Anolis sagrei: one gene and its partners. The protein of the gene in region 2 interacts with the protein of the main gene of each other region in a pairwise test. Links are inferred from orthologs where the notes say so. Each region holds a gene or a part of one and is shown on either strand. Other genes may lie near its edges.

The links.
Region 1: the proteins of EXOSC8 (region 2) and DUSP23 interact in binary tests that used the Homo sapiens proteins (3 or more experiments, as listed by UniProt). The two-hybrid records come from large-scale screens. The link is inferred for Anolis sagrei from reciprocal best matches to the Homo sapiens genes EXOSC8 and DUSP23.
Region 3: the proteins of EXOSC8 (region 2) and SLAIN1 interact in binary tests that used the Homo sapiens proteins (3 or more experiments, as listed by UniProt). The link is inferred for Anolis sagrei from reciprocal best matches to the Homo sapiens genes EXOSC8 and SLAIN1.

Annotation. Positions count from the first base shown.
Region 1 is NC_090032.1:13,169,642-13,177,301, reverse strand, and holds the start of DUSP23 (dual specificity protein phosphatase 23), read right to left. Parts: upstream 3,005-7,660; 5' UTR 2,861-3,004; intron 910-2,860; exon of another isoform or gene 853-909; intron 1-852. UniProt on the Homo sapiens protein: Protein phosphatase that mediates dephosphorylation of proteins phosphorylated on Tyr and Ser/Thr residues. In vitro, it can dephosphorylate p44-ERK1 (MAPK3) but not p54 SAPK-beta (MAPK10) in vitro. Able to enhance activation of JNK and p38 (MAPK14).
Region 2 is NC_090022.1:166,884,928-166,892,157, reverse strand, and holds the start of EXOSC8 (exosome complex component RRP43), read right to left. Parts: upstream 3,006-7,230; 5' UTR 2,991-3,005; coding exon 2,772-2,990; intron 1-2,771. Other genes in the region: ALG5 (dolichyl-phosphate beta-glucosyltransferase), read left to right, coding at 3,161-3,220. UniProt on the Homo sapiens protein: Non-catalytic component of the RNA exosome complex which has 3'->5' exoribonuclease activity and participates in a multitude of cellular RNA processing and degradation events.
Region 3 is NC_090023.1:127,617,491-127,625,150, reverse strand, and holds the start of SLAIN1 (SLAIN motif-containing protein 1), read left to right. Parts: upstream 1-4,656; 5' UTR 4,657-4,879; coding exon 4,880-5,328; intron 5,329-7,660. UniProt on the Homo sapiens protein: Microtubule plus-end tracking protein that might be involved in the regulation of cytoplasmic microtubule dynamics, microtubule organization and microtubule elongation.

The sequences.
Region 1 (7,660 bases), on a different chromosome or scaffold from region 2:
ACTGCGCCACCGGGGGCTCCGTAGACTCATATAATCCTGTTCAAAGCAGATAATGTGGATTTTATTCATGTCAGGAGCGACTTGAGACACTGCAAGTCACTTCTGGTGTCAGAGAATTGGCCATCTGCAAGGACGTTCCCCAGGGGACGTTGCCCGGATGTTTTACCATCCTTGTGGGAAGCTTCTCTCATGTCCCTGCTTAGGGAGCTGGAGCTGACAGAGGGAGCTCAACCTGCTCTCCCCAGATTCAAACCACCTGTCAGTCATCAGTTCTGCTGGCACAAGGGTTTGAGAACCTCTGGAGGTTCTCAAACTTTTTTAACAGGTCACAGTCCCTCAAACTGTTGGAGGGCTGGATTATAATTTGAAAAAAAAATTACACACTACACATATCTTATTTGTAGTGCAAAAACACTTCAAATCAATACAATAATTAAAATGAAGAACAATTTTAACAAATATAAACTTATTGATATTTCAGTGGGAAGTGTGGGCCTGCTTTTGGCTGGTGAGATGAGATCGTTGTTGTTGTTGTTGTGTGCTTTCAAGTCATTTCAGACTTAGGTTGACCCTGAGTCAACCTTTGATCATCTGGATTATATAGCAGTATAGCCTAATATAATCCAGTTCAAAGTAGATAGTGTAGATATTTTTTGTGTCAGGAGAGACTTGAGAAACTGCAAGTCACTTCTGGTGTGAGAGAATTGCCCATCTGCAAGGACGTTGCCCAGGGGACACCTGGATGTTTTGATGTTTGCCATCCTTGTGGGAGGTTTCTCTCATGTCCCCACATGAGGAGCTGGAGCTGACAGAGGGAGCTCAACCAGCTCTCCCCGGATTCGAACCGCTGACCTGATTATCTTCTTTGATAATCTGGATTATATGGCAATGTAGATCCAGCCTCAGCCTAGAAAGAAAGCTTCCTCTTTATTAGTCTTTGTTGGGGGCCACAGTGGTCTGTGTGAACTGATGGGTTTGAAGTACTACAAATCCCATCAACCTGTGTCCATTCTCCCCCAAACCTCACCAGGACGTAAAGGGGATCATGGGGGTTATGTGTGCCAAGTTTGATCCAGGTCCATCACCCATGGCCTGTGAAATTGGCAGCCAATCAGACAGCTGCCACATACACTGTCCTCCCTCCGCATACAAACACTGACTTTTATTATATACATAGATTTAAACCAATGAGAAAAGCTTTTAAGGAGCTATTCCATTTGGCTGATTGAAAGGAAGGAAAAGAAGCCCCTCTCTAGCCTTAATCATAGAATCATAGAATCATAGAATCATAGAGTTGGAAGAGACCTCATGGGCCATCCAGTCCAACCCCCTGCCAAGAAGCAGGAATATTGCATTCAAATCACCCCTGACAAATGGCCATCCAGCCTCTGCTTAAAAGCTTCCAAAGAAGGAGCCTCCACCACACTCCGGGGCAGAGAGTTCCACTGCTGAACGGCTCTCACAGTCAGGAAGTTCTTCCTAATGTTCAGATGGAATCTCCTCTCTTGTAGTTTGAAGCCATTGTTCCGTGTCCTAGTCTCCAAGGAAGCAGAAAACAAGCTTGCTCCCTCCTCCCTGTGGCTTCCTCTCACATATTTATACATGGCTATCATATCTCCTCTCAGCCTTCTCTTCTTCAGGCTAAACATGCCCAGTTCCCTAAGCCGCTCCTCATAGGGCTTGTTCTCCAGACCCTTGATCATTTTAGTCGCCCTCCTCTGGACACTTTCCAGCTTGTCAACATCTCTCTTGAATTGTGGTGCCCAGAATTGGACACAGTATTCCAGATGTGGTCTAACCAAAGCAGAATAGAGGGGTAGCATTACTTCCTTAGATCTAGACACTATGCTCCTATTGATGCAGGCCAAAATCCCATTGGCTTTTTTTGCCGCCACATCACATTGTTGGCTCATGTTTAACTTGTTGTCCACGAGGACTCCAAGATCTTTTTCACACGTACTGCTCTCGAGCCAGGCGTCCCCCATTCTGTATCTTTGCATTTCATTTTTTCTGCCAAAGTGGAGTATCTTGCATTTGTCACTGTTGAACTTCATTTTGTTAGTTTTGGCCCATCTCTCTAATCTGTCAAGATCGTTTTGAATTCTGCTCCTGTCCTCTGGACTATTGGCTATCCCTCCCAATTTGGTGTCGTCTGCAAACTTGATGATCCTGCCTTCTAGCCCTTCATCTAAGTCATTAATAAAGATGTTGAACAGGACCGGGCCCAGGACGGAACCCTGCGGCACTCCGCTCGTCACTTCTTTCCAAGATGAAGAGGAAGCATTAGTGAGCACTCTCTGTGTTCGTCCACTTAACCAATTACAGATCCACCTCACCGTAGTTTTGCCTAGCCCACATTGGACTAGTTTCCTTGCCAGAAGGTCATGGGGGACCTTGTCGAAGGCCTTACTGAAATCCAGGTACGCTACATCCACGGCATTCCCCGCATCTACCCAGCTTGTAGCTCTATCGAAGAAAGAGATCAGATTAGTCTGGCATGACTTGTTTTTGATAAATCCATGTTGACTATTAGCGATGACTGCATTTGTTTCTAAGTGTTTGCAGACCACTTCCTTAACAATCTTTTCCAGAATCTTGCCCGGTATCGACGTGAGGCTGACCGGACGGTAGTTGTTTGGGTCGTCCTTTTTTCCCTTCTTGAAGTCCGACTCCTCTTCCTCTTGCCGCTCCATGCCCAAAAATAAACCCTCACTGAGGCTGTCCTCGAATGACCTTCCTTTCCAGAGACGCAAACCTACAGAGAAGCATTTGCCACCCGCTCATAACACAATCTGGGATCAGGCTATGCCATGCGATTCCCAGCAATTCCCTGCTTGCCTTCACCTGGCCCCAGGCATACCTGAGAGGAGAGAGAAAGGCCTCCAAAGAAGAGCTGTGCTTCTTTCTCAGGCACTGCAAGCATCCGAGCGCTTTCTCCAGGCGGAAGCACATCTGGTCTCCCTGTTGCAACTTTATTCAAGAGTGGAGCTCCTCCTTCCTCTGGCCTGATGGGCAGTCGCCACAGCGAATGGGGATGCAATGGGACCACTCCTATTGTCTTTGCGGCAAGGTTCAAAACCACTTCCACAGAGGGTCAGGACAGGCACATTTCAGTTCCAGATCAAAGAGATCACTGACTTAGGTGTGACCAGAGGCAGCCCTTGGTAATTTTTATTTTGGCACCCCCCCCCCCCCCCCCCAACCAATCACTGATATATATTTTCTGTTCGTGGACAACAAGTTAAAATGAGCCAACAATGTGATGTGGCAGCAAAAAAAGCCAATGGGATTTTGGCCTGCATCAAGAGGAGCATAGTGCTCCATGACTCCAGGGAAGTCATGCTCCCCATGCTCTACTCCGCCTTGGTTAGAGCACACCTGGAATATTGTGTCCAATTCTGGGCACCACAATTCAAGAGAGATGTTGACAAACTGGAATGTGTCCAGAGAAGGGCAACTAAAATGATCAAGGATCTGGAGAACAAGCCCTATGAGGAGCGGCGTAAGGAGCTGGGCATGTTTAGAAGAGAAGGCTGAGAGGAGATATGATAGCCATGTATAAATATGTGAGAGGAAGCCACAGGGAGGAGGGAGCAAGCTTGTTTTCTGCTTCCTTGGAGACTAGGATGCGGAACAATTGCTTCAAACTACAAGAGAGGAGATTCCATCTGAACATTAGGAAGAACTTCCTGACTGTGAGAGCCGTTCAGCAGTGGAACTCTCTGCCCCAGAGTGTGGTGGAGGCTCCTTCTTCGGAAGCTTCGGGTGATTTGAATGCGATATTCCTGCTTCTTGGCAGAATGGGGTTGGACTGGATGGCCCATGAGGTCTCTTCCAACTCTTTGATTCTATGATTCTATGATTCATGACCTCCAAAGAAGGCATATGCTCAACTCTCAGCAGGCAAGTATTCACAGTATTCTGGGACCAGCATGGAGCAGGATTGATGGATTCCTTAGCAAAGGGGACCATGACTACTGGGGCATACTAGGCAGACATTGTGGGAGGCCATCCAAACCAAGAGACAATGTGGCATTCTCATTAAAGGTGTCCGTCTTCAGCAAGACAATGCATCAGGGAGGAGGGAGCAAGCTTGTTTTCTGCTTTCCTGGAGACTAGGACGCAAGGGAACAATGGCTTCAAACTACAAGAGAGGAGATTCCATTCTGTTCTGAGGACCAAGATCTATTGGAAGTCCCCAGTGTCAAGACCTTGCGTCTAGCGGCAACCAGACGCAGAGCCTTCACAGCAGTGGCGCCATCAGTCTGGAATGCTCTGCCACCTGAAGTTCGTGCCCTGCGGGACTTACCAGCTTTCCGCAGGGCATGGAAGACATACCTGTTTCAACAGGCTTATAATGTTTGATACTGTTGTTTTTAAATTGTTTTAAATTGCTTTAAAACTTTGTTAGATTTTAGCTATTCTTGTAAGCCGCTCCGAGCCCCAGGGGAGTGGCGGCATATAAGTTTAAATAATAAATAAATGAATAATAAACTTCCTGACTGTGAGAGCCGTTCAGCAGTGGAACTCTCTGCCCCGGAGTGTGGGGGAGGCTCCTTCTTTGGAAGCTTTTAAGCAGAGGCTGGATGGCCATCTGTCAGGGGTGATTTGAATGCAATATTCCTTCTTGGCAGAATGGGGTTGGACTGGATGGCCCATGAGGTCTCTTCCTACTCTATGATTCTATGATTCGTCGTGGGAGTTCTGTGTGCCATATTTGGTTCAGTTCCATCATTGGTGGAGTTCAGAATGCTCTTTGATTGCATTATTTATTTATTTATTTATTTGCTGTATTTGTATACCGCCTTAATCAGACTATCGGCGACTCAAGGCGGTTTCCAACAAAACAGTATACAAATTAAACATTAAAACAACATAAAACACAACAAGCAATAAAAACAACATATTGTCAAGCATTGTCCAGTTCCATCGTCAAATCGTCAGATTTCCTATATTAGTTATCTATATCTGTTACTCTGTATTTGTGAACGCTTGCTCAAATAGCCATGTTTGTTTTGTTTTTTATTTAATTTTTATAGTGCAATTTTTACATTGAAAGAGGGTGAAAACCAGATCGGGGTATAGGGTGGCAACCTGTGTTGGACGGGGTTACACTCCCCCTGAAGCCACAGGTCCACAGCTTGGGAGTCCTCTTGGATTCATCACTTACGCTTGAGGCTCAGGCGTCGGCGGTGTCCGGGAGGGCATTTGCACAATTGAGACTCGTGCGCCAGCTGCGACCATACCTCGCGAAGGCTGATCTGGCCGGGGTGGTCCATGCCTTGGTCACCTCTAGATTGGACTACTGCAATGCGCTCTACGTGGGGCTGCCCTTGAAAATGGCTCGGAAATTCCAACTGGTCCAACGGGCAGCAGCCAGGATGTTAACCGGGGCTCATTACAGAAAGAGGTCAACCCTCCTGTTCAAGGAGCTCCACTGGCTGCCGTTTATTTTCCGAGCCCAATTTAAGGTGCAGGTGCTTACCTACAAAGCCCTGAACTGTTTGGGACCACCCTACCTGCATGACCGCATCTCCGTCTATGAACCCGCACGTTCACTTCGCTCATCCGGAGAGGCCCTGCTCGTGATCCCGCCTGCGTCGCAAGCGCGCTTGGTGGGGACTCGAGACAGGGCCTTTTCTGTGGTGGCCCCCCGACTCTGGAATGCCGTCCCAAAAGATCTTAGACAGGCCCCTATATTGGCAGTCTTCAGAAAGAACTTGAAGACCTGGCTGTTCCAATGTGCCTTCCCAGATTAGGAATCTCCAATACCAAGTCCCAGAAGCACTTTAGTAGAACTGAGATTGCTGCACACCGCACACTGCACCTATTTTATAATCCTACATACCTCCTGCCACATCAGCACTTTTAATCTTGTACCCATTACTCTGGCCTGGCCCAGTTTTATAGTGTCTTGATGTATTGTTTATTGTCTGTTGTTTATACTGCTTAACTGTTTTTAATTTGCTTTAGGTATTGTATTGTTGTATGGTGTTTTGAGGCCTTGGCCTATGTAAGCAGCATCTCCCCATCGAGATGCTAGCGGGGTACAAATAAAGTAATAATAATAATAATAATAATAATAATAATAATAATCTTGCTTCCGAAACGTTAAGAGGAAGAGAGCAGATCTAATTCCTCTAGGGAGGGTGTTCCATAGCTGAGGGACCACCACTGATAAGGCCCTGTCTCTCGCCCCCGCCAATCATACTTGTGACGAAGGCGGGGCCGAGAGCAGTGCCTCCCCGGACGATCTCAAAGTCCTTGATGATTCATAAGGGGAGATGCATTCGGACAGGAAAGTTGGGCCAGAACCGTTTAGGGCTTTATAGGCCAAAGCCAGCACTTTGAATTGAGCCCGGTAGCAAACCGGCAGCCAGTGGAGCTGACGCAGCAGGGGGGTTGTATGCTCCCTGTATGGCACTCCGGTGAGTAATCTGGCTGCTGCCCGTTGGACTAGTTGAAGTCTCCGAACAGTCTTCAAGGGCAACTTCACGGAGAGCTCATTGCAGTAGTCTATACGGGATGTAACCAGAGCGTGTACTACCGTGGCCAAGTACAGGCGCAGCTGGCACACAAGCTTTAATTGTGCAAATGCTCCCCTGGTCACCGCCGAAACCTGAGGTTCCAGACTCAGCGACAAGTCCAGGATCACACCCAAGCTGCAAACCTGCGTCTTCAGGGGGAACGTGACCCCATCCAACACAGGCTGTAACCCTATGCCCTGTTTGGCCTTACGACTGACCAGGAGTACCTCTGTCTTGTCTGGATTCTGAATTCTTGTCTGAACTATACATCCCAGTAACTACAACTTGCATATGTCAAGGTCTATTTCCCCCCAAGAGCGCCTCAAGAGCGCCCCTGGGCAAAATCTATACTGCAAATGCTTACTTTGCGTAATGGGTTGAGCCGCCCCTGGGTGTGACAGAGACCTATGCAGGCCATGGAATATCAACATCTTTGTCAATGATTCAGACGACGGAATATTTATTTATTTAGCATGTAAGAACCAAATTGAGACAATAGCTATAATGTGTAGAAAAACTACAAACAAAGTTAAAAGCTCGGCATTATGCTAAATGTCCTTTTTGTTGTTGTTGTTGTTGAAGGCTTTCATGGCCAGAATCACTGGCTTGCTGTGAGTTTTCTGGGCTGTCTGACCATGTTTCAGGAGCATTCTCTCCTGAGGTTTCACCCACATCTATGGCAGGCCTCCTCAGAAGTTGTCAGGTCTGTTGGAAACTAAGTGGGGTTTATACAACTGTAGAATCATAGAATTAGAGGGTTCTATGGAGGCTCCTTCTTTGGAGGCTTTTATGCCCTGGAGACCTCATGCGCCATCCAGTCCAACCCCATTCTGCCAAGAAGCAGGAATATTGCATTCAAAGCACCCCTGACAGATGGCCATTCAGCCTCTGTTTAAAAGCCTCCAAAGAAGGAGCCTCCACCACACTCCACTGCTGAATGACTCTCACAGTCAGGAAGTTTTTCCTAACGTTCGGATGGAATTTCCTTTCTTGTAGTTTGAAGCCATTGTTCCGTTTCCTAGTCTCCAGGGCAGTAGAATAATGTCCAGGGTGGGAGAAAGAACTCTTGTCTACTTGAGGCCAGTGTAAATGTTGCCACTGGCCAGCTTGATTAGCACTGAATGGCCTTGCAG
Region 2 (7,230 bases):
CTGTTTCCAGGTCCAGTTTATGACAATTTAAAGGTTATGACTTTAAAGCCCTAGATGGTCCAGGTCCAGGCTATTTTAGGCTGACCGCATCCACTTGTATAAACCTGCCCAGGTCCTGAGATTTTCAAGAGAGGTCCTTCTCTCAGTAACACCTCCATTTCAAGCTCGGTTGGTGGGAATGAGAGAGAGGGCCTTTCTTTTTAGTGGCTGCCCCTTGACTCTGGAATTCCCTTTCTTCCCAGGAAACCAGAATGGCCCTGTCCCATGACAGACTTTTAAAGATAAAGGTGTTTAAGATCTAGTAAGGGGATGCTGTGGTTTTCAACTTTGAATGTGTTTTAATGGATTTTAACTGTGAATGTTTTAGTGCTGTTTGTATTTAATTCTGTTTTAAAATGTATAGATTTGTATATTTTAAACTGTATACTAAGGCTTTTATATCAAGCCACTTTGAGTCCCCTTTGGGGATATAAAGCACGGAATAAATAAATAAATAATAACAGCAACAAGGCAGCATGAACCAGCCTTAGGCCCCATCTACACCAATCATTTAATGCAATGCGGCATCCACACAAAAAAACTCCCACAAATCCTATAAAAAGAAACCCTAACTGCGCATCAGTGCTTTGTAGGATCATCATCTGGGCCGCAAACCATTTCCAAGATTTTCCATGAAATTGTCTGCACAGTAAAACTACTTTTCTTCCATGCTGGTCTGAAACTTTTTAGATGTGCCTTTAATGAGAGGAACGGCACAGAGACCGAGGAGGCAAGAGTGGTGCCTGAAAGAGGCCCTTCCCCACCGCCTGCCTCTAACATGATGAAATTCTAAATTTGAAGGTGTTCCGTTTCGATAAGATTCCAGACAGAATGATAGAGTTGATAGCACTATGTAACACAATTTTTGTTCCTGGCTTTTCCTAATTCGTTCTATAATTAAAACATGGGGAAAGTTTATTGAACTGCAAAAGCCTTGCTTTTTGCAGGACATTCTGCAGCACATTCTGCTATAGATTTTCCACTGAATATCAGGTGTCAACCAATTCAACATAGTTTCCGGCAGCCACAAAACGAAGTTTCTGGAGTAGAACAACTACTTTCAAAGTACGTAGCGCACAATTAAACAGGAAAGAACACCTTCAAACCAGGAACAGATTTTTTTCAAATGTTGTTACATAGTGTATCCACATACCAAAAAAGGGAAATGCGAAAGATTGCTCAAACTTCCGTACAGTGGCCCTTATTTCTCATGCCAGTAAGGTAATGCTCAAGATCCTGTAAGGAAGACTCCAGCAATACATGGAGCGAGAGTTGCCAGATGTACAAGCTGGGTTTAGAAAAGGCAGAGGAACGAGAGACCAGATTGCCAATATCCGCTGGATAATGGAGAAAGGCAGGGAGTTTCAGAAAAACATCTACTTCTGCTTCATTGACTATTCTAAAGCCTTTGACTGTGTGGATCATAATAAATTGTGGCAAGTTCTTGGTGGGATGGGCATACCAAGCCACCTTGTCTCTCTCCTGAGGAATCTGTACAAGGACCAAGTAGCAACAGTCAGAACTGACCACGGAACAACAGACTGGTTCAAGATTGGGAAAGGTGTACGGCAAGGCTGCATACTCTCACCCAACCTTTTTAACTTGTATGCAGAACACATCATGCGATGTGCAGGGCTGGATGAATGCAAAGCTGGGGTGAAAATTGCTGGAAGAAATATTAACAACCTCAGATATGCAGATGACACCACTCTGATGGCTGAAAGCGAGGAGGACCTGAGGAGCCTTCTAATCAAGGTGAAAGAAGAAAGTGCAAAAGCTGGGTTGCAGCTAAACATAAAAAAACCCCAAGATTATGGCAACAAGAATGATTGACAACTGGAAAATAGAGGGAGAAAATGTGGAGGCCGTGACAGACTTTGTATTTCTAGGTGCAAAGATTACTGCAGATGCAGACTGTGGCCAGAAAATCAGAAGACGCTTACTTCTTGGGAGGAGAGCAATGTCCAGTCTCGATAAAATAGTAAAGAGTAGAGACATCACACTGGCAACAAAGATCCGCCTAGTCAAAGCCATGGTATTCCCTGTAGTCACCTACGGATGTGAGAGCTGGACCTTAGGGAAGGCTGAGCGAAGGAAGATCGATGCTTTTGAACTGTGGTGCTGGAGGAAAGTTCTGAGAGTGGCTTGGACTGCGAGAAGATCCAACCAGTCCATCCTCCAGGAAATAAAGCCCGGCTGCTCACTGGAAGGAAGGATACTAGGGACAAAGTTGAAGTACTTTGGCCACATCATGAGGAGACAGCAAAGCGTAGAGAAGACAATTATGTTGGGGAAAGTGGAAGGCAAAAGGAAGAGGGGCCGACCAAGGGCAAGATGGATGGATGGCATCCTTGAAGTGACTGGACTGAATTTGAAGGAGCTGGGGGTGGTGACGGCCGACAGAGAGCTCTGGCGTGGGCTGGTCCATGAGGTCACGAAGAGTCGGAGACGACTGCACGAATGAACAACAACAGTGTAATCAAACCTTAATGGCAGAGCATTCGTTGACTGGTTCGTCTATTTCCATTGGTTCTGCCCTGAACTTTTACACTGTAGCAGCGAAACAATTTGAACAATAAACAAGGAACCCTTCGGGAGTCTCTGAGCGTGTGCCACAAAGCAGGCAGTGTACGTTGACCGGGCCTCCCCCCGAGTTCAAGTCAGGGGACTCAGAACTTCCCTAACGCAGGGCCTCATTCGTCCTCAACACGGCTCTGGGCGCCGCTCCTCACCTGAACCCACCGGCCGCCGCCATTCTCCCTCACGCGCTCCTCAAAGGGCCAATGAGGACGCTCTAGGCTCCCGACCTGGGTGGGTCTGAGCGGAAGGAAGCGAGCGCGGCGCCGGAAGTGCTCCTTTTGGCGGAAGGACGGGTAACGATCGAAATCTCCGTCACGTTCCACCAACCCAGAAGCCCAAACGCGTGCTTCCGCCCTCAAAGGCCATGGCATGACCGCCCTCAAAACTCCAGAAGAGGACGACTTGGGCCCGCCAATTGCGGCGCTCCCTGTCTCCGGAAGCTAAGGCTGTAGCGGCCCTTTGCCCCGCCTTGTGGCTCTGCCCGCTTCCGCCTCCGTGTCTTTTCCTGCAAGCTGGGCGTTCTTGCCGTTTGCGGGGAGCGATGGAGCTGCTGTGGCTGGTGGAAGGACTGGCGGCGCTGGCGGGGGTCGGGCTGGTCCTGGTGAGCGTGGCAGGCTGCTGCGGGGCTCTGGGTGGGCTTTTCGGGCACCCTTCTCCGTCTCTAGGGGCTCTGAGCGAACAACCCCACGCTATCCTTTAAATAAGGTTCATAATTACAGCTGATGGTTTGGAAAGGCCATTTGAAAGAACAACCTATTCCTTGGTCGTCTTTGAAATGAGGTGCTGGGTTTGGGCCTGCCACTTTTGGACTCTCGCTTGCTGGGGTGTTCCAGCGAGTGTCTCTGTAGATCTAAGAAAACTATGTCTTGATTTAAGTCGTTGACGTGCTGGCTGATACCCAAACAGGGGATGAGCTGGAGATGTCTCTGCCTTGGTCCTTTCACTATTGGCTGCTACTTCCCGGCGGATGTCAGGTGGTGCAATACCGGCTAAGCAGTGTAATTTCTCCAGTGGTGTGGGGCACAGACACCCTGTGATAATGCAGCATGTCTAATTAAGAGCCACATCTACTGTTTTAGTGTGGTGAGATGTGTTCCACACTGGGCATGCATACTCAGCAGCAGAGTAGCATAGCGCAAGGGCAGATGTCTTCACTGTGTCTGGTTGTGATCCCCAGGTTGTGCCAGTCTGCTTTCGTATTATGTTGTTTCTAGCGCCCACGTTTTGTTTGATGTTCAGGCAGTGCTTCTTGTAGGTCAGAGCACGGTCCAAAGTGACTCCCAGGTATTTGGGTGTGTTGCAATGCTCCAGTGGGATTCCTTCCCAGGTAATCCTCAGAGCTCGGGATGCTTGTCTGTTCTTAAGGTGAAAGGCGCATGTCTGTGTTTTAGATGGATTAGGGATCAGTTGGTTTTCCCTGTAATAGGCAGTAAGAGCACCTAGAGCTTCGGAGAGCTTCTGTTCTACCATCTCAAAGCTCCCTGCTTGAGCGGTAATGGCACGATCATCAGCATAGATGAAACTCTCTGTCCCTTCTGACAGTGGCTGGTCATTTGTGTAGATGTTGAACATGGATGGAGCAAGCACGCTCCCCTGAGGCAGGCCGTTCTTCAGTTTCCGCCATCTGCTTCTCTGGCCCTGGAACTCCACAAAGAAGCTCCTGTTTTGTAGCAGGTTTCCTATGAGGCGGGTGAGGTGGTAGTCCTTTGTGATATTATGCATTTTTCTCAGGAGGAGGTGGTGGTTCACAGTATCATAGGCTGCTGACAAGTCTATGAAGACAGCTCCTGTGATCTGCTGCCTTTCAAAGCCATCTTCTATGTGCTGAGGGCCAATTTACGGTCTCTCAGACTATAGTCTGAAAAAACATGGACAAATTCCAGTGCACACTGCAGGTGTCTTATTTGTAGTGCAAAAAAAAAATCCATGAAAGAACAAGACAATATTTACAACGAAAAACAATTCTAACCATCACAAACTTACCAGTATTTCAACGGAAAGTGTGGATTTGCTTTTGGCTGATTAGAGAGTCAAGTTAATTAGGATTGTCATGTGCCTTCGAGTCGCTTCAGACTGAAGGCGGATCTCAGTCTTAAGTTTAGGGCAGGGAATGGGTGAATTACCTTGGAGGGCCTTATCTGGCCCACAGACCTTAGTCCCCTTGCTTATATGATACCCACCATGATAATCAAGATTAAAGTAAAATGACCAAAGTTGGGGCATCTTCCTCCAGAATAGAATCCTTAATGCCCATTGGCACTCTTTCAGCTAAACCACACTGCATTGGAGCCCCTGGTGGCGTAGTGGATTAAAGCCCTGTGCTGGCAGGACTGAAGACCGACAGGTTGCAGGTTCGAATCCGGGGAGAGGCGGATGAGCTCCGTCTATCAGCTCCAGCTCCTCATGCGGGGACATGAGAGAAGCCTCCCACAAGGATGATAAAACATCAAATCATCCAGGCGTCCCCTGGGCAACGTTCTTGCAGATGGCCAATTCTCTCACACCAGAAGCGACTCCGGTCGTTCCTGACACGACAACAAAAAAAACCCACACTGCATGGCAAAAGCAATGAACCAAGGGAACACTCCAGCAACCCGCTCAAGTGGAAGAGGGAGTTGGGAGGGAAATAACCCACATTCTCTGCATCTCTTAAGATGCAGGCTCTGAAACCAGATGGAGGCCATCCTGTGTGTTGCATATAAGCACTATCCAGGCCTCAACCTGGTTCGACGGCTTGCCATCAAACCATCCATACCACTTCCCCTATGTTGGTTTTGAACTAGTCAGTATAAATCACTATTTCTTAAACTGTGGGCCCTGATCCCGAATGGAATTTCCTTTGCTCAGTGTTGGGGTCATGAGAAATTTGGCAGCAGTAAAAGGTTTCTGAACACCCTGGTGTATCTTCGGGCATTTACAGTTGAAGATGTAATGTCCCTAGAAGAGAAATGATGCTTACCCCTGGAGAGGGGTACATCCTGGGAAACAAATCTTCCATAGAAGTTGGATGCTCCCCCCTCTTCATTTTTTGCTGTATGCTTTCACTCCTCTATATCTATGGATTCTGCATGCATGGAAAAGGCAAAGTATGCATGTTTATCTGTTTCTACCATTAAGGCTGTTGCTAGATAAAGTGGCCCTCTGTGATGCCACTGGTTGGGGCTGTTGCTAGGGGAAGTGGCCCTCTGTGATCTTGTTGGTTGACATGCATAAGAGAACCATGTTGTCATGGAGACATTGTAGGAGCCCCCAGTGGTGCAGTGGGTTAAACCACTGTGCTGGCAGGATAGGTCGCAGGTTCAAATCCGGGGAGAGGCAGATGAGCTCCCTCTATCAGCTTCAGCTCCTCATGCGGGGACATGAGAGAAGCCTCCCACAAGGATGATAAAAACATAAAATCATCTGGGCGTCCCCTGGGCAACGTCCTTTCAGATGGCCAATTCTCTCACACCAGAAGTGACTTGCAGTTTCTTAAGTCGCTTCTGACATGACAAAAAAAAATGGAGACATTGTGAGGTAGGCCTTCTCAGAGCTGGAGAAGGGAGACAGTATGTGGGGAGCAGTCCTAACAACACCCAGGTAATGCCAGGTATACTTGATTTTGCCATTTTTATAAGGGGTACCATTGTATTAGGCCCTTGGGACTTGAGCATCTACAGATTTTTGTATCCACAGGGGAGTCTGGAAACCAAAGTGCCCACTGTACTTAATAACACTGTTCAACGGAGAAAAAGTTGCGGGCCTGAAAATAGTTGTTCTTTTATGATTTTGGGGTGCTGAAAACGAAAATGACATTTAAAAATGTATATTGGCTCTAGTTTTTATGATATAAGCAATCACGTGATCACGTATGGTTGAAAAAAATGCATGTTGCGACTTACACTATGGACGATTCTAGAAAGTTGCGGGCCTGAAAATAGCTGTTCTTTTATGATTTTGGGGTCCTGAAAACAAAAATGACATTTAAAAATGTATATTGGCTCTAGTTTTTATGATATAAGCAATCACGTGATCATGTATGTTTGAAAAAATGCATGTTGCGACTTACACTATGGAAGATTCTAGAAAGTTGCGGGCCTGAAAATAGCTGTTCTTTTATGATTTTGGGGTCCTGAAAACGAAAATGACATTTAAAAATGTATATTGGCTCTAGTTTTTATGATATAAGCAATCACGTGATCATGTATGTTTGAAAAAATGCATGTTGCGACTTACACTATGGAAGATTCTAAAATACTCTAGAAAGTTTGATGACGCAGTATTAGTGCCATGTACAAAAGCCAGAAAGCCCTATTTAAGGCCAGACTTTTGAACGGTGAGGGTCAGTCAGTTGAAGACTGAGACAGTATCGTTAAACATCGTTTTACATTGTTCTTTTTACTGTAGTTATGCCTCACACGTGTGTAAATAAAGCACTATGGGGAAAAGATATCAAGGCAAATGGACTCCGTCAATGCTGTCAGACTACTGCTGGAGCATTGTAAGAAACAATCCTTTCCTTGAATACAAAAGAAAAGTCAAGAGAAGCAAACAGGATATAAACTAAAGTCACGATTAAAGCAACATTTAAACTTTCAGACTTTTCAACTGCATTAGGCCTACTAATATAGT
Region 3 (7,660 bases), on a different chromosome or scaffold from region 2:
AGAGGTTTGTGAGTGCCTCCTACAAGACATTTGGAAGCCATCCCTTCTATGAAAGATACATGAATCCCTTCTTGAATCCAGATAGCCATATCCTCCTGGAAATTTAAGAGAAAAAGAGCAATGATGGAGCAAACACATAGTAAGCCACACTGCTCTAAGTACCTTATTCACAGTCATCCAGTTGTGAGCAACCACTGACATTCATCTAGAGAAAGAAAAACAAGATGGCTCCTTACCAACATTCAGCAATTCTGCTGCATAAAAGCTGGCATTCAAGGGGAGATATAAACAAGTGAGGTTATGAGCAAAATATGAAGGAAGTAAATTGCAATAGGATCTTAGGATATTCCTCTGAGTCTGGAAGAAGCAGACTCTGTAGGACAATGCTGAGCAAATATCCTTTGAGCAGCAGGACAGCATTTGCTTTTTGGAAATATACATCCTTGCAGATGATCTCTATAGAAATCATATTTAATGGATTGTCCGTGTTTTTAAATAAAAAGCATTTTATAAATAAACATGATCATCATCCTCATTCTAATTTTATTTATTTATTTATTTATTTCCCGTGTTTTGACTTTTGCTCATCATGGGAATGAAGCTTTAGAGCCCGAGAGTCTGTGATGGTCCCAGTGTTTCCTTGCTTTCATGGTGGAATTGTTACACCTAATATATACCAATTAAGAGGAACCCTTTCTCCAAAATGATTGGGCATTGAAAGCACATGTGCAGCTTTCATTCAGATTACCAATTATTTAAAAAATCAGCCTATATTGACGCTTTGCATTTTTTGCAGTGTTAAATTTGCATAATCACAATCCCCAAACTAGCAGTTTTGGGGCTCTAATTATATGGTTTATTGTGTTCTTTCCAGGATGGCATTCTGTAGCGCAGTAGCAGAGGTGCCGCCTACTTCTTTGTGTAGCACCAAATGGAGATATTTAAGCTTTGAAGGCTCTGAATACCGTCTAATCCAGCCTTCCTCAAACCTTCAGAGGTGCTGGGACTACAATTCCCATCCTTTCCAGCCAGCAGGAATGATTTATTTAATTTTTAAATATACACACACAAAACACATATACACAGACTGGGCCACAGCAACACGTGGCAGGGGACGCCTAGTATACAATAAATCAATAAGCATCTATAAACATAGCAAATAAAACTAATAGTCCAAAAATGATTTCTTAGTCATTTAGAATAATTGGTTTCCAGACTCAGGGCGGCTTACAAACGAAGGCACAAGTCGATGCCTAAATCAATAAACAAACAATACATAAAAGCATTTTAAACGATTAACAAGTTAAAAACATTAATACATAGTAAAATAGCAAAACAATCTCATGCTCAGTGTTCAGAGTCCGTTTATCCATTCTATTCCGTTCGCCCTTGTTTATCGTCCGATCTTTCCTTAGCTGCCAGAATATCCAAAAGCTTGGTCCCATATCCAGGTCTTCAATTTTTTTCTGAACGCCAAAAGGGAAGTCGCTGTTCTAATCTCCCCGGGGAGTGAGTTCCACAGGTGAGGGGCCACCACTGAGAAGGCCCTGCTCCTCGTCCCCGCCAACCTCACTTGTGATAGTGGCAGGGTCGAGAGCAGGGCCTCCCCAGACGATCTTAAATTTCGAGATGGGATGTAGAGGGAGATCCGTTCAGACAAATACACTGGGCCGGAACCGTATAGGGTTTTGTAGGTCAAAACCAGCACTTTGAATTGTATTCAGAATTGGATTGGCAGCCAGTGGAGCTGGCATAACAGAGTGGGACTAACATAAGATTTTGTCTAAGTCTTGGAAAGGCTGATGTAGCCCAGCCTAAAAATGTGAGAAAGTAAACTCCCAGCATTCCATTTCTGATGGATTATTTGGTGGAAAAATTATTTTTACAGGTATAACTTGCTATTAAATCACTATCACAAGACTAGAAATATACCGCAAAAACCTGTTTTAACTATGAGTTTTCCAAATAAATTAAGACCATGGAAAACAAAGAGAGAAGTTAGCTATGAATATCTGAAGCCTTGTGGATTACAGTGAGTGCTGACATACCCCGAAGGCACCGCATCTTCTCTGATCTTGGAAACTAAGCAAGGTCAGACCCGCTTAATACTTGGATGTGGGGTCACCAAGGAATACCTTTTGCCGCAGGCTATATTTTCAGACAAAGGCAACACCAAACCTCCTCTGACAGTTCTTGCCAAGGAAGCCCTATGATAAGGTCACCATAGGTTGGGGTCGACTTGAAGGCACAGAACAACAGAGTGCAATCGACTTGTAGTGAAACTTTACCAATGTATGTACCGATCTGATCAGAAATTCCATTCATCTCTATGAGGCTTATCACTGAGTAAGTGGATACACTGTCTCATTTAAATCAAGCATTGCTTTATCTTCCCATCGGGAAGGGCCTTTTCTCACTTGGGTTTCAAACACCATCATTGAACTGTACTGCTAAGGAGTTCACTTGGATACTGCTCACTGCGCCAAAGGGAACAACAAAACTGGGAATGGCTTTTAGTCCCCAAAACAAGAATGGACAACCTGTGGCTCTATTTTCCTCTGATGCTTCTAAACTGGTGGGACCACCTCCACATTTCCCTTCCTTTAGTCAAGGAGAGGAAGAAAATGTGATTTCTGCTGTTGATAGTGATGGATGAGCAAGATGCTAAGGTGAGGTTATGGCAGGTATGGGCAAACTTGGGCCCTCCAGGTGTTTTGGACTTCCCCACAATTCCTAATAGCCTACTGGCTGTTAGGAATTGTGGGAGTTGAAGTCCAAAACACCTGGAGGACCGAAGCTGGCCCATGTCTGGGTTATGCAATGCTCAGATAACTGCTGGATTGACTGAGTGGGCTGGTGCTCCCTGCTCAACCCACAAGCACCCACTGGCTGAGGAATGTGAATGTGCTGAGTTGTGTGTGTGTGTGTTGAGAATACGCATTTACCCATGCTCGGGCAATGAAATGTGCATGTAGGGAATGAGTGTCCATCCTCTGCCTGGAATACCATACAGACCCCAACTCTTTGTCTATAACTAAAAGAGACTGAGCATTTTTGGTGGCCACAGCTTGAGTCAAGCTTAATGAAGGTCCATTTCAGTTGTCCACGACTTGGCAGTAAACAGCATGTGTACTCAACTGTATCACCAGAGAGCTAACCATTGAGCAACCAGCCCTGAAGTCCCAAAGCCAACCTTAAACAGCATCCAACACAATATCATGAAAGGGGTGCTTTGAATGCAATTTTCTTTCTTCTTGGCAGGGGTTGGACCGGATGGCCCAAGAGGTCTCTTCCAACTCTATGATGTAGTTCCCAGTTGAGGAAGGGAGATATTAGGAAAACAGAAGGAAGAAGGGTATTGGGGTGAGAGTGGTGATCCAATTCCCCCCAGTCTTTCCTTGATATCCTAGTCCCCCAATCAATACATGTAGAATGGATTGAATTCCTGTTTGTGAGTAAACAAAGTATGTTGTCTTTTAAAGAAGATTTTTTTTTTGTCTCTGAGCACATATTTTAAACTAAGAGGTTTCAAAGAGGAGTATATGTTTTGGGCAACTGCAATTTCAAATTCAAATTCAAATAAACATTTTCAAACGCTGCTAGCTAAGTATTGGTTTTTTGTGGAGTGGCATGTCTGGCAGTTCAAAGACATGGTTCACCAGATTAACAGCCAAGTTACCTGTGTGCCATTACATGCTTGTGAACATCACTTATTCAAAGGGTTGAATTCTAAACAAGGTCATGCCTTTCCTTGACTAGTGGTTTCCAAATGGTGGTCGCCAGATGTTCATGGAGATTCACATTTGCCAAAAGGATATGACATCCTTTCCAAAAAGGTTATGAAACATTTTCAAAACTCTGCTGGCTAAGTATATGTTTTTTTGTGCAGTGGCATGTCTTTGTCCCTGGAAGTTCAAAGGCTTGGTTTATCAGTTTAACAGCCAAGTTACCTGTGTGCCATTACATGAATACTTGTGAACATCACTTATTCAAAGGGTTGAGTTCTAAACAAGGGCAAGCCTTTCCTTGACTAGTGGTTTTCGAAAGGTGGTCTCGAGGTGTTCATGGAGATTCACATTTGACAAAAGGATATGACATCATTTTTCCCTTCCAAAAAGGTTATGAATGCCATTTTCCCAAAAGTTTCAGGTTAAAAAAACCCCCGCTTTACTCATGAATTTGTTAACCAGTTAAAATTCATGAGTAAATAAGTTTTTTTAACCTGAAATATTTTTGGGGGGTGGTGGTGAAATCCTTATACCTCCCCCTTCTCCCGACTCCAGGCCTGCAGGAAAGGCTCCGCATCCTCCTAGCCATGGCCACCTCCTCCATCCTTTCCCCTGCTCGCGTGACATCACAATGAGTCCTCCTCAGCATCCCTTCCTTCCTTCCTTCCTTCCTTCCTTCCTTCCTTCCTTCCTTCCTTCCTTCCTTCCTTCCTTCCTTCCTTCCTTCCTTCCTTCCTTCCTTCCTTCCTTCCTTCCCTCCCTCCCTCCCTCCTTCCTTCCTTCCTTCCTTCCTGGCATCTCTCCTGATCTTTTCAAAGTCTGGGGGAAAGTCCTTCCAAGGGAGGGAGGGGGGAGGGGGCGTGGCGTTCTCTCCCTGGCCACGCCCCTTCCCTGCCCCGCGCGGGCAGATAGGCAGGCAGGCCCCGCCCCTCGCTCGCGCACTCGCTCGCTCCCCTCCCGTCTCCTCCTGCGCGCGCGGCCCCTCGGCGCCTCCCCGCCCGGCTTTGTTCCCATTGTGTGCCTGCCTGCCTGCCTGTTTTGCTTGCCTGCCTGCCTGCCTTTGCCAATCCATCCGCGGCCGGGAAGACGGAGAGCGGCCTTTTGCGGGGAGGCCTGTTCCTCCTGCAGCGGAGGGAAGGAGGCAGGGAGGGATGGAGGCCGCGCTGCTGCAGCCCCTGGCGGCCGAGGTGAAGCCCGGCGGGGCGGTGAGCGCCGAGCTGGAGGTGAAGAAGCTGCAGGAGCTGGTGCGCAAGCTGGAGAAGCAGAACGAGCAGCTCCGCAGCCGCGCCTCCGCCTCGCCCCCGGGCCCCGCCGCCGGATCCCCGCTCCAGCAGCTGCTCCTCTCCTCCCTCCAGGCCCAGCAGCAGCAGCAGCAGCAGCACCCGCTCCCCGCCAGCGCCAACGCCGCTTCGCCCCCGGCACTCAGCCCCAGCCCCAGCGGGGAGCCCTTCGTCTACTTCAAGCCCTCGCCCGGAGAAGGAGGAGGGGGAGGGGGAGGAAGGGCGTCCCCGGAGGGCCCCCTCCCCGCCGCCACCTTCCTGGACGAGGTGGAGGTGCTGGACCTGCGGGCGGAGCGCCAGGAGAGGGACGCCGAGACCTGGTGAGTGAGGAGGAAGGGACCCGGGTGGAGGCACCCCTCCCTCCCTCCCTCCCTGATTGGCAGGAGACCCCTTCGCTGCCCTTTGGAGCCCTCGAGGTCTGGGGGGGGGGGGGAGAGGCCAGCCCCGCACAGCCAAGCCCTGTGGTCTGGGAGGCGCCCTTCAGGGGTGGTGGTGGGGGCGGGGGGATAGTGCAGATTCTGAGGGGGTGGGCTGTGGAAGCAGAGGCTTCCCTCCCTCTCTTCCTTCTGTTCTCTTCCTCCCTTTCCTTTCTTCGCTTCCCTTCCTTCCCTTCCTTTCGTTCCCTTCCTTCCTCCCTTCCCTCCTTTCCTCTCTTCGCCTCCCTTCCTCCCTCTTCCTCACTTCCTTCCTCCCTTCCTTTCCCTTCCTGCTTTCCTTTTCTTCCTTCCCTCCCTTCCCTTTCCTTCCCCCCTTTCCTTCCTTCCCTCCCTCACTTCCTTCCCTTCCTCCGCTTCTCTTCCTCCCTCCCTCCATTTCCCTCCCTTCCTTCCTTTCCCTCCCTTCCGTATCCTTCCTTCCCTTTCCTTCCCTTCCCTCCCCCTTTCCTTCCTTTCCCTTCCTTCCGTATTCTTCCTTCCTCCCTGTCTTCCTTTCCTTTCTTCACTTCCCTTCCTCCCTCCCTTTCTTCGCTTCCCTCCCTCCCTTCCTTTCCTTCTCTCCCTTCTCTCCTTTCCCTCTCTTCCTTTTCCTTCCTTCCCCCCTCCCCCCCCCCTCTCTCTCTCTCTCGCAGTGCGCTCCCTTCCTTCCTTCCCTTCCTCCTCGTGGCGGGATTTCAGGACTGTGGCCAGCGACCCTTGGGCTGCTTGTTGCGCTCTGGAGGAGGAGGAGGAGGAGGAGGAGGAGGAGGAGGCGGCCTTGGCGGTGGCGGGGGTGATGGATGGCGCCGCAGCGAGGCCGTGCCTTCTTCCGCTGCGTGGGAAGCCAAGGGCCTTCCTGGGGGCGCCTTTCTTTTCCAGAGCCAAGGAGCACAAAGGGGACCCAGGCCTCAGACACTCAACAAAAGGGGGCCCCGCTTGGATTGCATGCCTCTCTCGCTCTCCCTGCCTTCCTCGCTACCCTCCTCCTCCTCCTCTCTCCTCCGCTTTCCGAAGTGTTCCCGCGTTTTCTCCCCCTTCAGCCTTCAGCCTGTCGTTCCTCTCAATGCGGGCGGAGTCTTGATTTGCCTCAGGAAAAGCGATTGAATCCGGGCCCTTTTTAAGGCTAATAGCTCCCCTCGGAGGGATGCATTGGGCAGGAGAGAAGGGAAAGGGGAGATTCTGGGCCAAGCGTGGGCAAACCTCGGCCCTCCAGGTGTTTTGGACTTCAACTCCCACCCTTCCTAACAGCCACAGACCCTTTCCTTTTCTTCTCCTTTTCTACTTAAGCGGCTGAGGGGGGAAAGGAAGGGGCCTCAGGCTGTTGTGGAAGTCCAAAGCACCCGGAGGAAGGGCAAATTTGCCCAGGCCTGGTCGCAATACCCAGCTGCCTATCTGCACCATGGCATATTGACTGACAATTGCCATCTCTCCAACCCTCTTGTCCCTTTAAAAAAGCAGCTGTCGTGATTGAAGTACAGCCCAGAGGAAGTGGTTTGGTTCTCCATTATGCTTTGTTTTTGCCTCCCCCGCTCTTGCCAGTCATTCCTCCTGTCTTCTGCCAATGAGACCTATTCTTAAAATTGACACAACACACCTTGTTTCTGACTGTGATATAGTTATAAATTGGGAGCTGCCTGTAAAAAAAAAATCAACGCATCCTAATAAAGAAGAGTGCTGATTTCATTTGGTTGTTTTTTTGAGATGAGGAAGCCATGTTTGATATTTATCTAAGGCTTCTTCTTCTTCTTTTTTTTAAGTGTTCCTAGTATGCCTCTTTTAAAAAAATAATACTAATTCATATTGTTTTTGTGTTGACAAAGGCTTTCATGGCTGGAATCACAAGTTGCTGTGAGTTTTCCAGGCTGTATAGCTATGTTCCAGAAGCATTCTCTCCTGATGTTTTGCTCACATCTATGGCAGGCATCCTCAGAGGTTGTGGGGCATGTTGGAAACTAGGGAAGTGGGGCTGATATAACTGTGGAATAGTGTCCAGGGTGGGAGAAAGAACTCTTGTCTCTTTGAAGCTGCAAGGCCATTCAATGCTAATCAAGGTGGCCAATTGCAGCATCCACACTTGCCTCAAGCAGACAAGAGTTTTCTCTCCCACTCTGGACATTCCACAGATATATAAACCCCACTTGCCTAGTTTCCAACAGACCTCACAACATCTGAGGATGCCTGCCGTATATATGGGCAAAATGTCAGGAGAGAATGCTCCCTGAACATGGCCATACTG